Oryza sativa Japonica Group: one gene and its partners. Each later gene encodes a partner of the first gene's protein in a complex. Links are inferred from orthologs where the notes say so. Each region holds a gene or a part of one and is shown in the gene's direction. Other genes may lie near its edges. The genes, in order: THO complex subunit 1, THO complex subunit 3 and THO complex subunit 6.

Evidence for each region.
Region 2: THO complex subunit 1 (region 1) and THO complex subunit 3 share a complex: the UniProt entries of both Arabidopsis thaliana proteins name them as parts of the THO complex. The link is inferred for Oryza sativa Japonica Group from reciprocal best matches to the Arabidopsis thaliana genes THO1 and TEX1.
Region 3: THO complex subunit 1 (region 1) and THO complex subunit 6 share a complex: the UniProt entries of both Arabidopsis thaliana proteins name them as parts of the THO complex. The link is inferred for Oryza sativa Japonica Group from reciprocal best matches to the Arabidopsis thaliana genes THO1 and DWA1.

Annotation. Positions count from the first base shown.
Region 1 is NC_089037.1:606,836-614,311, forward strand, and holds the start of THO complex subunit 1, read left to right. Parts: upstream 1-3,168; 5' UTR 3,169-3,343; coding exon 3,344-3,490; intron 3,491-3,631; coding exon 3,632-3,715; intron 3,716-3,854; coding exon 3,855-3,929; intron 3,930-4,247; coding exon 4,248-4,329; intron 4,330-4,433; coding exon 4,434-4,579; intron 4,580-4,692; coding exon 4,693-4,764; intron 4,765-5,120; coding exon 5,121-5,193; intron 5,194-5,288; coding exon 5,289-5,354; intron 5,355-5,500; coding exon 5,501-5,547; intron 5,548-5,671; coding exon 5,672-5,743; intron 5,744-5,849; coding exon 5,850-5,978; intron 5,979-6,061; coding exon 6,062-6,169; intron 6,170-6,678; coding exon 6,679-6,795; intron 6,796-6,885; coding exon 6,886-6,968; intron 6,969-7,476. Other genes in the region: uncharacterized protein, read left to right, coding at 1-202. UniProt on the Arabidopsis thaliana protein: Acts as a component of the THO subcomplex of the TREX complex which is thought to couple mRNA transcription, processing and nuclear export. Contributes to the integrity of the endogenous trans-acting small interfering RNA (ta-siRNA) pathway.
Region 2 is NC_089043.1:11,599,410-11,606,736, forward strand, and holds the start of THO complex subunit 3, read left to right. Parts: upstream 1-3,004; 5' UTR 3,005-3,181; coding exon 3,182-3,292; intron 3,293-3,945; coding exon 3,946-4,041; intron 4,042-4,561; coding exon 4,562-4,691; intron 4,692-5,056; coding exon 5,057-5,145; intron 5,146-5,683; coding exon 5,684-5,752; intron 5,753-6,148; coding exon 6,149-6,206; intron 6,207-6,293; coding exon 6,294-6,405; intron 6,406-7,327. UniProt on the Arabidopsis thaliana protein: Acts as a component of the THO subcomplex of the TREX complex which is thought to couple mRNA transcription, processing and nuclear export. Contributes to the integrity of the endogenous trans-acting small interfering RNA (ta-siRNA) pathway.
Region 3 is NC_089043.1:16,265,110-16,272,624, reverse strand, and holds THO complex subunit 6, read left to right. Parts: upstream 1-3,198; 5' UTR 3,199-3,253; coding exon 3,254-3,490; intron 3,491-3,580; coding exon 3,581-3,696; intron 3,697-3,791; coding exon 3,792-3,868; intron 3,869-4,114; coding exon 4,115-4,160; intron 4,161-4,283; coding exon 4,284-4,344; intron 4,345-4,512; coding exon 4,513-4,566; intron 4,567-4,735; coding exon 4,736-4,820; intron 4,821-4,922; coding exon of another isoform or gene 4,923-4,926; coding exon 4,927-4,962; intron 4,963-5,269; coding exon 5,270-5,376; intron 5,377-5,461; coding exon 5,462-5,572; intron 5,573-6,252; coding exon 6,253-6,369; intron 6,370-6,479; coding exon 6,480-6,575; 3' UTR 6,576-6,823; downstream 6,824-7,515. Other genes in the region: uncharacterized protein, read left to right, coding at 419-605, 1,694-1,899. UniProt on the Arabidopsis thaliana protein: Acts as a component of the THO subcomplex of the TREX complex which is thought to couple mRNA transcription, processing and nuclear export.

The DNA of each region.
Region 1 (7,476 bases):
CCTCTTCGGCTTCGGCTGCGGCGCCCTCACCGCCGCGACCATGTACCTCGTCTGGTCCCTCCTCGCCTCCACCTGCGCTCCTTCCTACGACGAGGTCTACGGCGAAGACGACGACGACGAGCTGTCCGACTCCGAGAGCCCCAAGAAGGCCGGATACGTCATCATCCACGACGCCGAACAGTACGTCGGCGGTAAGAACTAGGGGTGGGGAATTGGGCTATCTCGCCGATGGCCAATTTAAGAATTTGTGATAAATGATCGCGTGGATTTGCGGGGTATATATACTACTATTAGCACCTATATATGTGTTGCGTCTGTCTGACTCAGTATGTGTGTGTGATTTCGAAAAGAAACAAATTATGAATACGGTCTTGATGTTTTCTTACATAATTTAAAGTGAAACTGAAGTGTCCTTATTTATTGATCATGAAACATGGAACATATTTGGTTCTTCTGCTCAGCAAAATTGCAATATGTTGTGTACAACTTCTGGTAAATTATGGAGTACTAGCTAGTTTTTCTACTCATGTTTTGTGCAGTTGTGGTCAGTGAATGTGCAGAATTTTCTACCATGAAAGGGCTAATATATTTTGGTAGGCCATCCATTTTGGATGGAGGATCACGATATAGGCCATTCTGGAGCAAACTGATTATTATTTTCCATATATTGTATGGTGACAGCTGATGTTTGTTCCATTTCTTCTTAGAACTTGTTCATCCGGCCATACCCTTGACTGTGACTGTCCAACATATTTTACAATAGACTTGTCTTGATGTCTTTATCTAAAGGATGCTAGGCGCAGTTTCTTTGGGTTCAGAGATTCGATATGGCACTAAATTGAGTTGTTTTCTTCATTCATTTGGTTACCATTTGTGTAGAGTTTAACGTACCAGTAGTATTTTTGGTAGGAAGTTACTGGAATGATGTTTGCTGGCCAGTAGTTTCATGGCTTAAAATAAACCTTATGACAGCATATGCGGCACCTAAATGCTTGTTATCTTAAGATAAATTTGAAGCTAACATGGTGTAGGATACTTCTGAACTATTTATCCTTCAGTGGCCATTCAGATACTAGCATATCATGGCGGATGTATTTTTGGGAATACGCAAGGAGTGCATTTTTGTATTAAGAGAAATAAAGAGTTATTTACAAAACCCAAACGCAGCAGGGGACCGAGACAGGAATCAAAACAACCAAAAAGCTACTTAATCCAGAATGCCATCGGCCTTTTCTCCTATGATGAAGGCTTTAAATCTCTACACTTCTCCATGGCTTTGTACATGTGTAACCAACAGCCAATGTGCCAAACACTAGTTTGGAAACTGACTTCTGTCACTTGTTCTTGGTTTTGTTTTTTCCCCTTACACCTCTACCTATCATGGATGCTTTTGCTCAGAATGTTGGAGATTGTAGTGTGTGTACTCTTGAACTGCTCTAATAATTTTGGTTTACTCCTAATAACTCAATTCCAGTTCATTGGCTTTACTGCATTGCATCAGTATGCCATGTGGTTGATGGTTTGGTTTTCATACTGTCAAACCTCCCTCAGAGATCTAAATTAATTGCATGTCCTGCATTTACCCTACTTTATGTTTGTTCCAATGATTTAGGAGCTTTAGCGCAGTGTACCTTGCATTTTGTAAACACTTTAGGTAAACCTTTTGTGGTTTGGTTGTATAATGATCAGATGGTTTCCCAGTTGTTGTAGTATTTGTTGGCTTATGCTGTTCCCAATTCTCTCTGTCGGCATATGAAGTCGCTGGTTTGAGTATGAACGGAGCATAAGTTTAATCAATCCATGTTATTGATACATGCCCTTTGGTTGTACACTTGTACTATGATGTTTAGCGCACAAACCAGATTGTGCCGCTGTTGCAAAAAATTGTATCTGCAGATTTTGTGACGAAATACGTAGTAGTTTGAAACAATGTTAGTATTGCACATCTTTGGTCTTCTGTGAGACTGACCTGACCATTTTGTCTGCACTGCTAGTTCTTGAATCCATAATCACGACACATGAACTAGCTACTCGAGGCTTCAGACTTGGACATTATTGGATGAGAGTATGAATAATAATGTCATGGCGAAAAAAGAAAATTGTTGATCTCGTCGTCGCTTGCATTAGTATACTGATTGCAAAGAAACTTCCACGGGAGAAGTCCGGTCAAGACGTAGATTTCTCCGCGAATCTCTCCTCCATCATCAAGTTCTTTATCCCCTCTTCTAGAGGAGGAGGATGTGGCCGCGGTGACAGCAAGAACACGCATGGTGTGGATGTGCTGGGCTACATCGTTGACGTCTGATAGAAATAAGTTCATTTAAGGTCCTTAATTTGTCGTCGAGTTTAAGGGCTCGTTCAGATTGATGTCTTTTCAAACTATACTTTTTTTTTTGGTAGAGTTGTTAAATATGTGCATCCATTTAGATTCTTGCCAAACTTTAGTAAATGCATAAGAAATCCTGCCAAAATTTTGACAATATTACCAAATTGCCAAAAATTAGTAAGGTTTATTTCGGCTACAATCTGAATAGCCCCTAAAAGGCTAAAACTCGTCGCTGTCCGGGATGGCCGGGGAGCTTCTTGGGCGGGAGGAGGCGCTCAAGCATTCTGCGAGGACCGGGATGGAGACGAACAAGAGCACCGACAGCACGAGCGGTGCGGCGATGAGGATTGGATCTCGGTACTCCTGGAGAACAGGGAAGAGAGACAAAGAGTTGTCGCTATTGTGTGAGGTCCACGTGAGTCCTACTTCCCACATCAGTTAAAACTTAAAATTAGCCACCATACTATCGTGGGACCAAAGTTGATACGGTATTGTGAGTTGAAGGATGAGCTGTAGCGTTGGTATTTCGGTTCGGGACGAATTCAAGGCATGTTTGGGGAAGTTTATGGCAACTGGAGATTTTTTTAAAAGCTCTCACAAACAGTCTAAATTTTCACTCAGATTTTAAGAAGATATAGTTGTAAAATCTAAAAATGAACTAGAAGATAGAAGAAGCTTATCTAGATTATCACCGGCTAGCTTCTCCAACCCCAACCAAAGTGTTATCCTCGTGGCAAATTACGGGATCTAATGCGAACTTATTCCCGTCTGATATAGATCGGCCCAATAACAACCCAAAATCCCAGTAATTCCTAAACGCGGCCCACAAGACAGCATCCCCTACCCCACCTTCTTCCCCGATCCCCTAGGAGGCTTCAACCCCGCATCCGCCGTCGCCTGCGCGCCGCCGGAGGCCGGAGCCCGCCGCCGTGGGATACTAGTCCAGCTTGGAAGCGGGGAGGGAGAGGCTCCAGCCAGTGTGCCGAAACCTACCCTTCCATTCTGACCCACCACGCCATGGCGGAGCCCACGCCGCCGCTGCCGTCGAACGCCGGGCTCCGCATCCTCCTCAGCAAGGACCGGCCACCGGCCTCCTCTTCCTCCGCGCTCGCCGCCGCCACCTCCGCCGCCGTCTCCAGCCACACCGACCGCGACCGCATCATCGTGAGTTGTCCACTCTCCTATCTAGTATGCCCCCGGGGGTGCCAGTGTGGGAGGATGTCATGAACCGAGGGTTTTCTGTCAATTTGCGCGGAATTATTTCTGTGTTGTGCAGTAGATTTGAGAAATCTCGTTTGTTCACAGGGAGTGTTCCGGGATGCGCTGTCTAGGACTGAATCCCCTGAAGCTTTTGCCCTTCAGGCCGTTCAGGATGCGATTAAACCTCAGGTACACAATGCACCACAGTCAGCCATGCTTGTAGGCTTGTAGCTTTCTCATAGATGATGGATTACTGTACTTGATGTTCCTTGCGTTGTCTTGTGCATACACACGTTTTTAAGTTAGTTGCTCATCTGATTTTTTGCAGAAGCAAACAGTGTTGGTTCTGGAGGAGAACCAATCCTTAGAAAATGCTCTACGCAAATTGCTGCAGGAACTTGCAGTAAGCTTCCTTACCACGCATGTGCCTGCACTAGTCTTTGTTCTCTGTAACAACACTATTACAAAGTAATGTGGTAGTAGATGATTTTTTTTTTGGGGTCACTGTCTCACATTTACAAGTTAGCGTAATGCAACTTCTCCTTTCTCCATACATTTCATTAAGTTTCTATCTTCTGTTTAATAACCGTCTGCAAGTATTTACCATGTACCTGAACGATAGGTAGTTCTATTGTTCAAATTGTGCAATCCTTACTTGCCTGTCATGCAGCCCTATAGATTAATGCTTGTTGCTGATTTCGTTTCATATCTATATTTGTAGTCATCTGCAGTTCAATCTGGTAAAAGAATAATGCAATATGGGGATAATGAAGAAAATAATTGCCCGATAACACGTCTTCTTGGTTAGTTGGAACCTTTTTACTGCTCCTTTCTCACATTGGTTCCTGAGCACTATTTAGAGATTTATCTGTTTTCTCTTGAGAGATCTTCTTTTTTTTCATGTTAGATATCGTGCTTTACCTTTGTGAAAGAGGGCATGTTGAGGGAGGTATGGTATTCCAGCTGTTAGAAGATCTGACAGAAATGTCAACTATCAAAGACTGCAAAGATGTATTTGGATATATTGAGAGCAAACAAGATGTCTTGGGGAAGGTAATTGAGAATTTGTCTTTTGTACTACATTTTGTTAAATTGGTGCTTGTAAGGCACATATGATGTATGCAGTTGCTTTGCTAATGGGGATTACCTCATTGAGTTGTTTGTAGCAAGAGCTTTTCGGGCGTGGCAAGCTTGTTATGCTAAGGACTTGCAACCAACTACTTCGAAGATTATCAAAGGTTAGATTCATCTGTTTTCTTATGCATACTCTGCTATCTACTTTGTCGTAGTCCGAATGTCTGTAGATTGAAATCATTCTGTGCTTTCCTTATTTTCTGTGCTGAGCAGTTTTATCAAGTACTAAGCTGACTGCTGTGCTCACTGTTCAGTAAGATCTTTGGTAATGACAAATTTACTGTAAAAATACCAAGCTATTGGACATATCATAAAAATCGTATTGTACATTGCGATGTTGTGGTCCTTTTGCTTTAGTGAGTATTGAACAAATATATTCTTTACATTTCTCGGAGTTTTGACAGCCTATAAGGTTGTGTTCTGTACTAGCATTGATACCCTTTGTTCTGAAATACCACAGGCAAATGATGTGGTATTCTGCGGACGTATTATCATGTTTCTAGCACATTTCTTCCCATTATCGGAACGTTCAGGTTTGCATATTTTGCATCTCTCTGTCCCCTCCTAGACAGCCCCTTATTGGCAAGGAGTGCATAACTACATTTTCCTTGTTTTTCTATTTTATCAGCTCTCAATATCAAGGGGGTTTTTAACACATCAAATGAAACAAAGTACGAGAAAGACGCTACAGATGGTGAGTATGACTATCCTGATAAAAAAAATATTTATTATTTTTTTGTTGTGTGTTTTTCGTGTGACTTTATTCAATTTTTTATTTCTTCAGTCAACTGTTCTCGTAAAAGGATAGAACTCCCTAATGTAAGCCTTTTTTTTTCTCAGGAATTTCTGTTGATTTCAACTTCTACAATACCCTATGGAGTCTGCAGGTGGCTGCTTTGTACCCTGTCATTCTGTGGGATTCAAAAATCATAATTGATTCCTGACACGCTTCTTAACTTTTAAACATTATATTGTTTCTCATGCTCATTTGTCTTTTTATTTATGTTCCAGGAGCATTTTAGTAACCCTGCTTTAACTGCTGCAAATCTGACAAGATGGCAAAAGTTTGTGTCCAATTTAACGGTACATCCTTTTGCGCATTTTTACAATTACATGAACCTTTTTCTTTCCCAATGCAAAATGTTAATTCTGAACTTCTCGTTGATGTTTACTGTTAATGAAAGTGCAGGTTGTGCTAAGCACATTTGAAGCTCAGCCTCTCAGTGACGATGATGGAAAACTTAACAATCTTGACCAAGAGGAAGATGCTGCTTTCAATATTAAGTACCTGACAAGTAGTAAATTGATGGGTTTGGAGGTAAGAACTTTTTGATCAGCTGATACTAACTTTTTATTATTGTTCACTGTTCATAGACTCATATGGCAATTGCTTCTTTGCAGTTGAAGGACCCAAGTTTTCGACGCCACATCCTTGTCCAGTGCCTCATATTCTTCGACTTTCTCAAGGCACCTGGAAAGACTGACAAAGAAGGTCCAACTGGGAGCATGGTTAGTCCACTAAATGACTTCTCTGATTGTTTTCCATGGACAGTTGAACTTAGACTTGAGCATCTGAAATTGTGCTGTTACCAAATTTTTAGTATTCACCTATTACTACATGATTGCTCTTGAGTTTGTGATAGTCACAACAGCAAATGTGGCAAAGCTAGCATTAGTTCTCATGAAACCATCAGCTCCTTTTTCTGTGCATGCTATGTGAGATCGTAAGTAGTCTGTGATAGCTATTCCCATTTTAGTTGAACCGATTATTATCACTTATTAGCATACTTCTCACAGCGTGTGCTACTGGGCATGTAAGTATTAACAAACACTGATTGCACAAATTGTCCAAACCGTATGAAGTTGCTTGGCAGTGCTAGTTTTTAGTATAACAGTGCCAACTAATACCAACTGCCTGCCTGATACAACTGGGTTATAGTGGCTAGTACAGACAATGAATCAGGATTAAGGAAATGCCACTCTGTACTCTGTATTAACTTTATGCTCTCTACAATCAGAAAGAGGAAATCGATTCTTGTGAAGAGCGTGTTAAGAAACTTCTGGAGATAATTCCACCAAAAGGGAAGGACTTCCTACAAAGCATCGAGCATATTCTTGAGCGGGAGAAAAATTGGGTATCCTCTTAGCTGCATGTAAGCAATATTTTATCTTAACATAGTAATTCTCACAACCAATGATTCTGTTCCTGCTGGCTCAACTTGAAGGTATGGTGGAAACGAGATGGGTGTCTAGCGTTTGAAAAACAACCTTTTGAAAAGAAACCAGGCCAAGCTGGAGTCAGAAAACGGTATGCTACTTCCTTTCTTCTGGCACTGAATTTGCCATTAGTCTATTATTGGTTCTGCTGTTGATGTGCTAGCCTATCATAATGTGTAACAGTTACAATAGATTTGAAATGATTTTAGTGCTAACTAAAAGAACAGCAGCTATCAACTGTGATATTGTCTTATTAAATACATCCCGCAAAGCATACTGTTTATAATTTTGATGGTACTGGGAGCACCATATCCTAAACATTGTGTCACTGGGAGCATTAACTTCAAATACACTTTATCTGAATTACCATGGAGCAGACAAATTAGTTATTTTATAATTTTGTGCTGCCAGTTTTTTTAATGTTCGCCAGAAGCAAGAATCATGAATTTCACCTGTTTCACATCAACATTCTTATATAGTGTCAACTTACAATGTTATGGATTTAGATGTGTTGTTATATGTATGAAGTTCACAATTTGTATTCATTTGTGCTAATGCAACTAGTTTCATATTTTTCATGAGTGAAGAGTGTAAGAATG
Region 2 (7,327 bases), on another chromosome or scaffold:
CGGTCATTAGAGATAAGTCTCCTTCACATGATGCTGTGGATGTTGGTGCGGTGTTCGTCTTGCCTTCGAAATCGTGCAGTCGAGAAAGCCGATTTTGCTTAGGGGGCAAGACATTATTATGTTTATGAGGGAACCAAGAGAAGATGAACGGCGATGGATACAACATCACATCTTTGAGCCGCCGTTTGTTAGATGCTAAGGCAAGGTATGGGTTTATTGTGTTCAATGTTATATTATACGCCTATGCCATGTTAGAACATTGCTTGCTATCTAGCACATGTGTGTTTTTGCTTATCAAATTGATATTATACATACATGTTGCGAATGCCAGTTCTAGGTAGTAGAATTGGTAGGTTGGCATATAATTTGTTTGAAGTATGACTTGGCTCATGACTCTTTGATATTTATTTAAAGCCAAATCATATGTCTTTTTATGGATCACCATATAAGATATAGATTTCATATTTATTGCACCATGAAAGTTTTGCCTATTAGTAATTCGGCTAATGTCAATGGTCAGTGTCATGATTTGTTCTAGAGTTATTGTATTTAGGAACATTGGCATTATTAATATTTTGCATACATGCTCAAGCCGATTACTTACATTTTTAGTTTATTGGAATCTATGCATGTGGCACATATGACTTTGGTGATTCATTATTGATCATACTTCAATTGGCTAAGTGTTGTGATGCCATGATGATTATTGTTTCAAAAGCCAATTGAATTAGTATTCATCTAGACATATTAGTTGAATGTTATAATTTTTCATATATCTAGAGAGAAGGAATTTTGGTCCAATAATTTGATACACCAAGCATTTGGCTATTATGTGAAGAAAAATTATATACTAAAGGCCGATGCTTGATTTCAAAAGTTTGGACGAAATTGGCAAAGTCATAGACCTAGGATGGTCTAACCGGCATTGCACGGCCGGTCTGACCGGCTCTACATGGCCGGTCTGACCGGACAGACAGGGTGGTCTGACCGGCATTGCGTGGCCGGTCTGACCGATAGCGGGCCGAGAGCTGGGGGGCACGTTACAATTGATTAAAAGGCCGAATTAATTGTGAATTCGGACATTTGTGCCCATGAGTTAGAAATAGCTTGGAGAATTCCTTCGATTAGATATTTGAAGATCCTACACTTAAGGTTGATCAGAAGATTCGGCGGCAAGCGCTCAAATATTATATCGCCGAAAAATAGATGGAGTATTACTTAGATAATGATCAGTTTAAAGTTGCTAGGAGAGTAGTACATGAAGGGATTTGTGAAATTCATCAATCGGCCCGTAAGATAAATTGGTTGCTTAGGAGAGTGTGGTTTCATTGGCCGAAAATAATTGATGATTGTTTCAAATGTTATAGAGGGAGTGAAGCTTGTTAACGGATCGGCAATGTTCAATTAGCGCCTACCGCTGTGTTGAATCCTATCATTAAAGTATGGCCGTTCTGAGGTTGAGCTTTGGATTTCATTGGTCAAATTTATCCTTCGTCATCAAAAGGGCGTTGGTTCGTGCTAGTTGCAATGGATTACTTCACTAAGTGGGCCGAAGCCGTGCCGCTCGAGAATATTACTTGTACGGAGTGAGAAGTTTTGCCGAATCTTATGCTATTAAGTTGATGAGTTCTTCTCTTTACTACGCTCAGGCTAATGGATAAGCCGAGTTGAGTAATAAAACATTGTTGAAATTGTCGTTTTGCCAGTTGGGGTAAATCTTGGCTCTCTTCGGTATTTCAAGCAAGACGACTTGTCGGTTGAAGATTACAAGACCTTGATGGGAAACAATTTTAAAGACGTCATCGACAAGCGTTTAAAGACTTTGAAGGAGATGAAGACACTTCAAGACGGTGTTTTCAGAGAGCAATTAATGGGAAATACTTGAAGAAATATTTCCCGAGCATTTGGCAAGATGCTTAGGAAGTCCTATGGGCGGTAATTGGATTATCACCCTGACATAACATGTTCTATGCTTTTAGGTTCACGTATGTTTACAAAAAAGGCAGGGGGGCATGTGTTTACACCCAAATTTGGCACCTATGGACGAAATAGAGGAAAATTGCCAAAGTTTGGAAAGTGACGGGTTTCCTTCACAGGGCCGGTTAGACCACAGGTGTGTGGGCGGTCTGACCGTCTAGTAGGGCCGGTCTGACCGCAGGTATGTGGGCGGTCAAACCGTCAGGGTCCGAGTCCGAGTTTGTTTTCGTCGGGTCTCGGGTTTCCTTGCCTGGGAAGGTAGGTTTCGTGTTTCCTTTGGTTTCTATCCCGAGTTGGATATGGAGAAGGGCCTGTAGAGGGTAAGACCAACCCCTATTTAAGGGACAAGGCCGGTTCATTGTAAAACCCCCGAATACAATTTACTTGAATCGTTCTTTTACCATGTTTTCTATTTTACCCTAGTTTTAATCCATCTTTGTCGGTTTGCGCCGTAAACCGTCCGCCGCCGCTGCGAGAGTGCGACACCTCTTTGTAGATTTGTCCTGAAAACCTTCCGTATTGCCTATGAGACAGGTTAGTTATCCTCATATCGATCTAAATCGGCTTAGAGGCTGATTTTTGATCTCTAAATCGGCTCCGCTAGCCGGTTTAGCTGTTTTTCTACAAAACCCATCTTGATTTGGCCGTTTGGCTAGATCGAGGTGGTTGGCGACTCCATATCACCGCAAGGCGTTTAGGTGCTGCGATCGTAATTGTCGACTTGTCACAAAAAGTTGCCAACAGCCGCAGCGGCTGTCCCCTCCAAAGAGGTGGTGGAGAGAGATGAGAAAAAAAAAGAGGGGAAAGATGAATCTAAGAAGACGAAGATGGATGGAAAATATTACTATAGTGGCATGGTTCTAATTTTATAAAATTTCAATGTCACAATTAAAAAAGACGAATTGTAATAACATTTATCGGTATATTTACAATGGCATGGATTCAATTAAACAAAAACCAAAGGATGTGTCCATGGCTCCATGGTAAGGATAACGCATGAACTTGTGGCATGAATAAACAAAAAAGTAGAAGGACGTTTCTGCGAAAACCCTCTCCTCTTCCCCGCCGACGCCGTCCCCGGCTCTCCCTCCTCCGTCTCGCGCCCGCCGCCGCCGCCACCGCCACCGCCGCCGCCGCCTTGCGCCTCGTGACGCGGTGAGTGGGGAATAGCAAAACCAGACCCGTGCCCCAGTCCGCGGGGACAATGGAGGGGAAAGAAGACGACAGACGGCGGGGCGGCGGTGGCGGAAGCTCGACGCCGGGGATGAACCTGAAGAACCTGGTGTCGAGGGAGTATTTCGGCCACAAGAAGAAGGTAACCTTTTCGATTCCCCCCTCACCAATCCTACGCGGGGATAAGTTTTTTTCTCATGAGGTCCTAAACCCTCAAAAGTCCTGCGAGGGGGAAGCCCTAAAATCCGGATGTTACAAGCAAAAATTAGGACGAAAATGCATCCATCTTTGGTTCACACGTACGGTTTTGTTTCTAATTCTAGAGCAGGATATAGTGATTGATTCCTCGCGTTCATGCCGTATATATGCTGATTCTTTTGCTCTAGGGCTAAGCCATGTTGAGATTGAATGAAGCTTTGGTTGGTTGCTTTCCTTCTGGGAGCTGGTGAATGAGCGCATTGTCAAATATGATTCCTGGTCATAATTACTCCTAATTTTTGAAGGAATTTGGTTTCACGAAAAGGGACTTCTTGTCTGACTTTGTAAAGTTGCTACTCCTCTGAGGGGAAGAATTCAAAGGGAAAAAAAAATCTTACTTGCAGAAAGAATCATAGTACAACGATATTTCTCTGTTTCTTTCTTGAATTCTGTTTCTTGTTTTTCTAAATAATCCTTCCACACATGGAGGTGCAGCATTTAACTGGTTCTGTCGCTTTTTGCCTTCTTTTTTATCTATCTTACATACATAATCAGCCTTAAATTTTGTATAATTCTGATCTTTTGTTTTACTGTTAGGTGCACTCTGTAGCATGGAACTGCCTAGGCATGAAGCTTGCTTCAGGCTCTATTGATCATACTGCACGTGTATGGAGTATCGATCCCCATGGCCATGTAAACATTCTCTCCTTTCCTGATTGCAAACAAAATAACCTTCATTGTTATTATGGAATTATTAGATAAACGCATTTATTGTCATTCACTATGAATAACTGTCACCCTTTTTTTATGAACATTTCTATAAATTTGAAAGATAAGCATGATGATTAATTGGAAATATCTCCCGCTGTATAATTTAAAATTATAGAAACTCAGACAGTAATCACACTTAAGCATACCATAGCCTGTGTCTCTGAGACATATGTTTGAGCTATTTAATGTGAAATTGTGAATGATTTCTTAGCTAGGGGTTCTTTTGGATCCCTCAGTTGTACTTATTTCTTCTTCTTAATGAAAGGAAGCGCAGCCCTCCTGCGGTTTTGAGGAAAATAAATTCTAAGCTAAATTATATTGTTTTGAGAACACTAAGACATTTTTGGTTGGAACGTAGGAGGGGAAAAAACCCCAGATGGTTTCTATTTCCCTGGAAGTACCAAGTCAGTACTGTGCTGATTAGGGTTTTTATATTGCACAGTCCAAGGTTAAAGACATTGAATTGAAAGGCCACACAGATTGTGTAGATCAGCTCTGCTGGGATCCGAAGCATCCTGATACAGTTGCTACAGCAGCTGCTGACAAGTCAATTCGCCTCTGGGATGCACGGAGTAAGTGGTTCCCTTCATCTTTGAAGGTTAAAGAACTAAGATATCCACAGTTGTGTTCAGCATTCTCAGCTTCTCTCTGAAATTGATGAATCCCTTTTTGTCACTTTGTTCAATCCCTATGTTCCATTTACAATGAACTTGTTGTTACCAGACAAGATGTCTTATTCTTTTGTGTAGTGACTCTACCTGAAAGTTAGTTTCAGAATTTTTTTAGTTGTACTTCGATTTTTTTCATAGGATTGTACATCATACTTTTGATTCTCTATTTATAACTCTACAAGATTTGGGCCTGCAGTTTGCCTTTTAAAATTATATTATTTATTTGACCCGCTATTTCTCAAACTGTTTGACGTGTTCTTTTCCAGGTGGAAAATGTCAAGTCGTCGAACTTAGTGGAGAAAACATCAATATCACTTATAAACATGGTGGTACTCAAATAGCTGTTGGAAACAAGGTATGTATTGCCTAGGCTGTTATCCCTGTTAACTTCAAGAACGGTAGTCATTTATGACTAAGGAACTGGTTTTGATTTGCATATATCATGCCAGAAGAGGGTTACAATATTTTGAAAGGAATTTATAAAATTCTTTCCAAAGAGAAATGTGTAACTATAATCTGATTTATATTAGATTGAGTGATGAGTTATTTGGCAAATTAGCATCTAAATTGCAATGTTCATTCTTGTGTTTGACATGCTCTCTGTATAAGTATCAATACAACATAGCTCAGTATGGACACACTTGAATATATACATATTGATCCTAAATTAGATGGAATTATTTACTTTTTTTGCTATGCAAAGTTAGTAAAGTGTTATTGAGCATGGGGACTGGGGAGTGGTGTGTAAATTTTATAATAATTGTAGTAAACCTATTTTTATAAAGTTTACAAGTTAGTTCGCAAGGTCCCGCGTACACCAATGTGTTTACTTTGTGAGTTCTAGTTTTATAAAATTGTACAAGTGTAGTAACAGCTGTCACTATGATTTGCAGGAGGATGAGTTGACAATAGTGGATGTTCGGAAGCTAAAAGCCCTTCACAAATTTAAGTTTAATTATGAGGTACTTTCCACTTGAAGGTTTGAATTGTTGAAACATTCTTCTAGCAATTTTCTTCTTCCTTTTGGAATCTTTCGCTGCTCTGAATGAACATGCACATATAGTCATATACCTTTTGAGAAAAAGTAGAGTGGGCATAAGTCGGCAGCATGTGCATCTTTGTCTGGAACAGGAAAATTGCCTGCTGGTATTTGAATTAGTACTGACTACTGAGTGTGAATTACCTAACTATTCGATGTACTTTAATTTCATTTGCTGCATTACTTATGTTGCAGTTTTGTAAATTTTCTATTTCAACTAGCTAAATGCCCGTACACCTGCTACTGATAAAAATGAATCATATAGCTCCTCAGATCAGTTAACTTTTCTGAAGTAAATTATTGATTTGTTGTTCCTCAGATAAATGAGATTGCATGGAACAAAACTGGAGATTTATTCTTCATCACTACTGGACTTGGTAAGATACAAAACCCATATGTTGTTTTAAGTTTCAATATCACACCAGTTGGTATCAGTGTAATTACATTGTTTGCTGTTTATGTAGGAAATGTTGAGGTATTTGGTGATCCTTCCCTTGATGACACCCTTCATGTGGTTGGCAAATTGAATGCTCATACAGCGGGTTGTTATTGCATTGGAATGGATCCCCTTGATAGGTGATGATTTTTTCTGTCTTCGCTCATTTGTTCAACATCAACTCACATCTCAGCCAATGACATTTCATTGTAACTACATTATCTTTTGAACTTTATGCTATAATCATTAGGTTCTCTATATGCTGTTTGACTTCGCTTTGAACTCTAATTCTCTTAATGCCTTATACTGATGCTAGTTGTTTTATGTAGTTAACGATTTTTTTTATTTCAAGGTAATATAAAGCATAGGCATGAGTGAAGTTATTTGACATACTATATTTTGGGTATTACTAATGTTGTATTCTATCTCGGTCTTTTGACAGTTGATAGTGATACTGGTATATGTAAAAAAAAGAACTTTCTGTCCAAGCTACCTTTAAGTGAATCTCACCTGTGATAGCACCTAGCCATAAGTGATTCTATGATGACCCATGCCTAAATATAAATGGGACACTGAATTCAGTGTTTCTCTACTACTCTGAAAGGCAAGTTTCGTTCGTCTGTGCATGCTTCCTATCAGGAGTGAAGTTTTGTTTACCCGCAGAAAAAAAAAAACAGCCCTCCAAAAGAAGTGGACCCACATATAAAAACGCCCCACTGGTAAAAAACTGGGATAGAAAAACTGAATAGCACGTCCTTCCCCCATCTCCCGTTGCAACTAACAGGCACCTTTACTAGCATGTAAAAGAAAGGGTGCAAAATAGTTTGCCACTTGTTGCCTTCTACTCCATGTAAAAGAATGGATTATTTGCTATACACCATTGCAAGTCTTCATGTTAATGTTTGGAGATTTGAGCTGCTACATGAACCTCAACAAAATTTATTGTGGAAAAGTATCATGTTCTTGTTCGCATGGATATAGTGGTATACAAACATGTTTCATGCATTAGTGTAGCTATGCCAAAGTATTGTACATTTGTTCTCAATTATCTGGTGAATATTT
Region 3 (7,515 bases), on another chromosome or scaffold:
ATACTGTGGTGATCTGATTATATTGAGTGTACATTATGTTTTCTTTTGCTTGCCATTGCCGATTTGATGGTTCAGCACTGACAGCCGAAAAACAGTTGCCCTGTGCAACGTTCCCAGTGTATTATTTGGCTGGATGCTGCAACATTTAGCAAGCAGAACGGTGAGGAAAGATGATTAAAGTCTTTTTATTTGGGCATGATGTCAAACGGTGTATTTACCATTTTCGCTCGATTGGATTAAGGCAAATGGTCTGCTATTTACCTTTTTTTTTTTCGGGCACGGATCCTGCGTAGGGATGAATGGCAAGTATCAGGTTTTGTGTTGTTTATCACGGGCTGAAATCCTGAATGCTCTTGTTGGAATTTTGTGCAGAGTGGAGCTTGGAATAGGCAGCTTTCTACTGTGAATCAAAAGCGTGATGAACAAAGATAAAGTTCATGACAAGGAGACTCACAGAACGAGCAACGATATAAGTCATAAAACATCTGTGGACAAGGTTAAGGCCCCCAATCTGTTTGAACGAGCCAAGGAAGAGGTTGAGGCTCTCGTTGGAGCTGTTCATGATAAGATGGAGCACAATTCCAGTCCCCATGGAAATAATGCTGGTAATTTGTTTGAACCAACGGTGTTTTCCGTAATTTAATTTCTGTGAAGATGCTGAGCACCTTTTATTATCCCCAGAAAGAAGAGTAGGATTTTAAACTATCTGGCAGAAAAGATGGAAAAAAGGATAGGATAGAGGAGCATCGGCTAGGCCCAAAGCACCCAGAGAGACAATTCACATCTAAGCTTAATGTTACCATCAGTCCATCACAGTATCGCACGATCCTTTGCCTCATCACCTAAGTCACGACCTTAGCTGCTTAACAACAGGACCAAAAAACACAAAGCTCATATAAGATAAACGCACAAGCTTAAGCTCTTCAATGCCTAATAGGCCGACACGTAGTTCTTCAGTAATTATGTCCTACTTCCTTCGTTTTACAATGTAAGTCATTCTAGCATTTTCTATATTCATGTTGATGTTAATGAATCTGGATAGATATATATGTCTAGATTCATTAATATCAATATGAATGTGGGAAATGCTAGAATGACTTACATTGTGAAACGGAGGGAGTACAAAATCTGATCTAGCAATTATGCGCTACAGCATACTCAATTGACAATTGCTAAATTTTAGCTTGATGTTTTTTACCTTGTGTATTGAGTTCCTTGTATAATATGATGGGTCATTAATCATGCATTGGGCATATATCAGAATTTATTTCTCTTTGTTGAAAAAGTCTGGTTTTCTGTAACAAGATTTTTCTGAGATAACACAAACACAAGTTCAAGAATATTAGCATCTTCATTTTTCTCCCTTTTATTGCAAAAACATCCTTTTCAGTAATTGTTTGTCAAATTTGATGCCACCAACCGACTTTAAAACATGATGCAGCTAAATCATGAAACTTTCTGGAAATCCTTTCAGGCATAAAAGTTTAGATATGTATGCCCTAAAAATAGTTTGAATACAAATACTTTGCTTGAATTCCTTCGAAGAATTTGCAGCACACAAAAAAAAATCAACAATGACTTGTCAGCTCTTTGTGTGTGATATTCATGCATGATGGTCAGATTCTTTTATGCATTGATTAACCTTATCTTCCTGTCTAATGATTATGATACACACCATTACAAAATTGTGTAGACCTGCATAAGGACTCAAAGGATGAAAGCAAGGTGTCAATGAACAAAATAGAGACCCACAAGAATGAAACTCATGGTACAAGCGATGATATAAATGAGAATACACCAGTTGAGAGAGTTAAAGGTCCAAATGTGTTTGAGCGTGCCAAGGAAGAGATTGAAGCTATTGTTGAAGCCTTCCACCCAAAGAAGGGATCTGACAAGTGAAGATTGAGATGTTCTGTTGCCTCTGTCTGCACTTGATGTGAAAACATTGACATGAGTTATTAATAGATCCATGGATGAGTTGTGAGATATCCATCGGCTGGTCTTATTATTGCCAAACTATGGAGTTGTAACTGTTGAATGGTTCATTGTACCACTGATATATATATGAGCAGAGTGTGTATCATGTGTGACATGAAAGTATTACTGTTCTTCAGTGTTTGATTTTAGTGTATGTTGAACTTAGTCCTTTGCATGATATGGTATTTTACTTGCTACCATACATGCAAAAATCTTTTGAGGTGCATAAATAAAGAGAGAGTCAATTGCTGTACAATTTTATAACCTTATGCTAAGCCTGTGGTTTGGGTTCAACATGCTTCACAAAATAACAGCATTTCCTTAGTGAAACAAGACAGAAACGCGAGATATGAACGATATGATACCTCAAACCCCATGTTCTTTGAAAAATAAAATTTTGAGTTAAATGTTGGTGTTGCTACACCTAGTAGTATAGAGTCTTGAAAAAAATTCCTCTCTTTTGATTTGTGTGGTTTCAAACGCTTCATCTAATTGATCATTCCTGTTATTTTCCTATCCATAAGATTTGAGGGAACTATTTCGAAGGATCCTTTCTCAAGACTCTAAACGGTGTGATTTTCTTAAAACTTTTTGTATAAATTTCTTAGAATACTGTTCTAATATTTTTTTTTAACTTTATACTCCATCCGTATTTTAATGTATGACGCCGTTGAATTTTTGACAAACGTTTGACCTATCGTCTTATTCAAAAAATTTATGTAATTATCATTTATTTTATTGTGACTTGATTTATCATCAAATGTTCTTTAAGCATGATATAAGTATTTTTATATTCGTATAAAAAATTTGAATAAGATGAATGGTCAAACGTTGGTTAAAAAGTCAACGGCGTCATACATTAAAATACGGAGGGAGTAACATTTATTTAATTTGTTTGTTCCCTCGAATAATTATCGCAACATTACGCGAAGCAACAACTCAAATAGATATTTCATATTATTTTATCAATGAATAAGATCTCGTCGTTGGCTTCTCATCACAAAAAAAATAAATATAAATTTATTAGAATATTGTTTTAACCTATTTTTTAAAACTTTATAACAGTTATTTTATTTGTCTGTACCCTCAAATAATTATTACAATACTGTACAAAAACAAATCAAATAGGGATTTCATATTATATTTTTTAATAATGAATAGATCTGGCCGTTGGTTTCTGATCTAAAGGCCCAGCCCAACCAGCCGCTGTCTCTTCCCCCCACTCCTCGACTCGCTCTCGCTTCCGAAGCAGCGGCGGCGGCGGCGGCGAGGCGAGATGGCGGCGGCGGCGTTGGCGGGGATGGACGCGCGGGGGTGGGACGAGGCGGCGTACAGGCGGGGCATCCTGCGGGAGCGGGACCTCTCCTGCCGCACCCTCTTCCGCGCCGTCTTCTTCGACCACCACGACGACGACCCCGACGTCCTCCTCGCCGCCGCCTCCAGCGACGGCTCCCTCGCCTCCTTCTCCCTCTCCTCCTGCATCTCCTCCTCCTCCTCCCATCCCACCCCACAGGTTCGTTCGTTCCCCACACCCGCTCCATGTGCCGCGTCCTCGTGCGCAGCTAAGGTGTTCGATCTTTTGTTTTGATTTGATTGGATTCAGACCCACCCGGATGCCGCGGTCTCTCTGGTTGATCCCGTCTGCATCGTCCAAGCGCACAGTGGCCCGGCCTACGACGTCAGGTTCTACCCGGATTCGCAGCAGCCGCTGCTCTTCAGGTGAATTGCTGTGCTGCTGCTCGTCTTCTCGGTGGCCGTTTTTGTTCAGGTGACATGGCATGACATTTGGCGACGTGATCCGTTGGTTGTGGCAGCGGCGGGGATGACGGGCGCCTTCGGGGATGGAGATGGCACGAGATGCAGAGCTGCCTTGTGCCGCTATCTCTGCAAGGTGCTGCAAAAGAACCCTCACTTCTTACTAGGATTGACTTGGTTAATTAGTTTGGTGTGTGCTTTACCTAGAAGTTCTACCTGTACTTGCTTGCGCACACCCCACAAAGAAAAGGCTAAATTTTTAACAAAGATGTAAAACATTTTGCAAGTCCCATTTCCTTTTCTAGTGCTCTAGTGCATGTTTTTTTTGTGGGGCTAATGCATGTTGTTTAATAGGTTACTTTGTCATTGCTTTTCTTTCCAGGGGATCATTTGGAGCCAGTACTTGATTTGGTGAACCCTCAGCATGAGTAAGTATTCTGTGAAAAAGGACATACATCTGATAATCATTTGACATATCGTTTATTCTAGAGAAATATGCACTTGCACTCTCATCCTCCATCTTTTCAGAGCTTTTGTTTTCGATTTTGTAGGGGTCCTTGGGGTGCTCGCTCTCCAATACCTGAAAACAACGCCATTGCGATTAACAAACAGGTCAACACCAGAAAGTCTGCATTTTCACTTCATCCAAAGAAGCAAAATAATCTCTTGTGTGCATTTTTGTTCATCGTGTATATTATATAGAAATGATGCATATTGTTACTTGCTTAAAAAAAGATATCTTATTCAGTTATTCTTTCTCATCATTCTTCTTCGCAACAGGAAGGATCTGTTTATGCAGCGGCCGGGGATGCATGTGCTTATTGCTGGGATGTGGTATGTATTTTCTTGAGGTAAATGCAATATATAGAAGTCCTGAGCTACATGGAAGGAACTACAGATTTCTTATGATTCATGTGGCACAGGCTTCCATAATTTTCTATTTTCTGTGTGCCTGCTTGAGAAAATATCTGATAGTAGGTTTTACAATGTCTTGTTCTTTCAGGAGAGTGGTAAATGTAAAATGACCTTCAAGGGACATACTGACTATTTGCACAGCATTGCAGTCCGCGAAGCGAACCGCCAGGTTGGTTTGTTATTATTGTACTGATGTAGTCCAATACCATTTTCCCATAGATGTCTTGCCTTCATTTTGTAGTAACTTTTAGTTAATAGAGCCTTTCCTTTTTCAGGTAGTTACAGGATCAGAGGATGGCACAGCCCGTATCTGGGGTGAGCAGTGCTTTTGATAGGATAATTTTGTCTTGTACTTGAAGTGTGCCTTCTCATGTTCATCCTGTTCTAACTGGTCATTTTGTATATCTGCTCGTTGATTCAAGCAAAGAAAAAGCACCAACTAGCTATTTGTCTTTTTGTACTCTTTAATTCACATCTGGTGATCTGGTCACAGGTCACATCATATTCACAAAATTTATCCTCTCTCTTATGAGTTTACCTTCAGACAGGTTTAGAAAGATTTGGCACTACATGGAAATCCATAAAAAGGCATTCTCTTATTTCTGCTCTTTGTGCACTGCAGATTGCAGAAGTGGAAAGTGCACTCAGGTTATACGTCCGGTGAAAAACAAGATTTTTGAGGGGTCATGGGTCAGTTGTGTTGCCATTGATGCAAGTGAAAGCTGGCTGGTAGGATGCACTTCAAGCTGATATAACAATGTGTTATGCATCATGTATTTTACAGTTATTATTATCTTGGTCCTATTTTTCCCAGGCTTGTGGTACTTCTAGTGGTATATCAGTTTGGAGCCTTCTTTCAAATGAGTGCATCTTTAATGTGGATTGCCATGCTCCTGTTCAAGATTTGCTGTTTGACAGAAACCAAGTAAGTCTATCTATTCGTCATGTTCAAGCTAGAGTTTAGCAAACCAGTAAAATTGCCCATGGTTAGAAATGGCTCATCTTGTATTTCAAAGATGGGCTGGCAAAAAATTTAGGACGGATCATTCCATTCTTTAGTCTTTGTGAGTTTAACAAATGCTATACCTGTAGTAAATTAGTGTTCCCCTAGTCAATTATTTCCATTAACAAGTCATATGATAGTTCCACAAGTGCATGATTTATCTATTTAACCAATGCCCTTTCTAAATTTTTTTATGCATAATTGTTTGCCAAATGAAAGTTTGCATAATTGTGTGGATATGAAATTATTATCAGATAATCTCTCAGATATGCACAGAAAATGCAATAAATTATTTCCTGATGATTTATGACATGGTTGCCAAAATTTGAAGCTTTGTGATGTTATTGTTGGAGAGAAACAGAATAAAATCAAAAGCTTTTGCTTCCAAACAAATATAAGAGTGACTCTTCAGCCAACTAGTTATTATTCCTGCAAGGAAAGCTTTTTATTATTGTCTGCTCACATCTATTAGAGATTTACCAAAGCAATGTTGAGTCTGGCGATAGACAATAGAGCAGCACGAAGGATGCATTGTTTCCCAACTCTTGTGGTTTAGGAATTATCAACTGTTTGTTTTCTTATACTCCATTTTCACCATTCAGATCTTAGCAGTCGGTGCTGAACCTCTGCTCTCTCGTTTCTCTATCAATGGGACTCTTCTTTCACAAATCAAGTGTGCTCCTCACTCAGCATTTTCTGTCTCCATACATTCTTCAGGGGTATGTCTGTCTGTCTCTTGATTCTCATTTTGAAATGACTTGGGTATCTGTTTCACCCTACTTCTGGAGTCTGGCCGATTTGTCCTGAGTTTACTACCTTTGTTGTGCAGATGGCAGCTGTTGCTGGATATGGAGGCCTTGTGGATGTAATATCACAATTTGGGAGTCATTTGTGCACTTTTGGCTGCCGGAGCCTGGATAAGTAAGATCTATTGGAACAATTAGCTAAGCACTCTTAATAGTGTAAAGAACTGGAAAAACACTGCCAAGATCTAATTAAGTACTACTACTAGTAATCATACACTTGGGAGCTGTTCAGCTGTAACACTAGTTCATCTCTGTGCTAACTTATGTAATTCACAGTTGTGCCGTTGCTGCTCCGATAGAGATGACTCTAGATCCCTTAAGTTTATTGCTGTTACAATTTCCCTAATGAATTCCCTTGTACGGATTACCTGCTGGTTGCTGCAACACTGCTCTCTTTGCTGACTTTCTCCCTCCATCCCATAAAATACAAACTCAGGATAGGATTTTAAGATGAGATGTGACACATTTTAATATTCTTCAGATTATTCTTAGATAGCCTATCCAAACTCAGGTTTGTCTTTTTATGGGACAAAAGGAGTACATCAGCTTTCCTTTGGCATCACGTGGCACTTGTTTCTCTTTATTAGGCAATATTTATCACAGCTCCATATCTAGATTTAAAATTTATATGTTACTACCTCCGTCCCCTAATATAAGGGATATTCACTATTTTTTTTTTAACGTTTGACCACTCGTCTTATTCAAAAAATTTGTGCAAATATAAAAAACGAAAAGTTGTGCTTAAAGTACTTTGGATAATAATGTAAGTCAAATAAAATAAATAATAATTCCAATTTTTTTTTTAATAAAACGAATGGTCAAACAATGCAAGCAAAATGTCTAAATCCCTTATATTAGGAGACGGAGGGAGTAAATTATAATCACTTAAAAATTATATTTCATCCAAAAATGGAATAAATATTTCATTCAGAAGTAATCAATGTAATTGCCGATTGAAAAATCTATGGATTTGTGGAGGTGGAAATATCCAACTCCAAAAAAAAAAAAAACCTTAGATCCAAAGTTATGCTAGCTCTAAAACATCTTAGATCGGAAGCT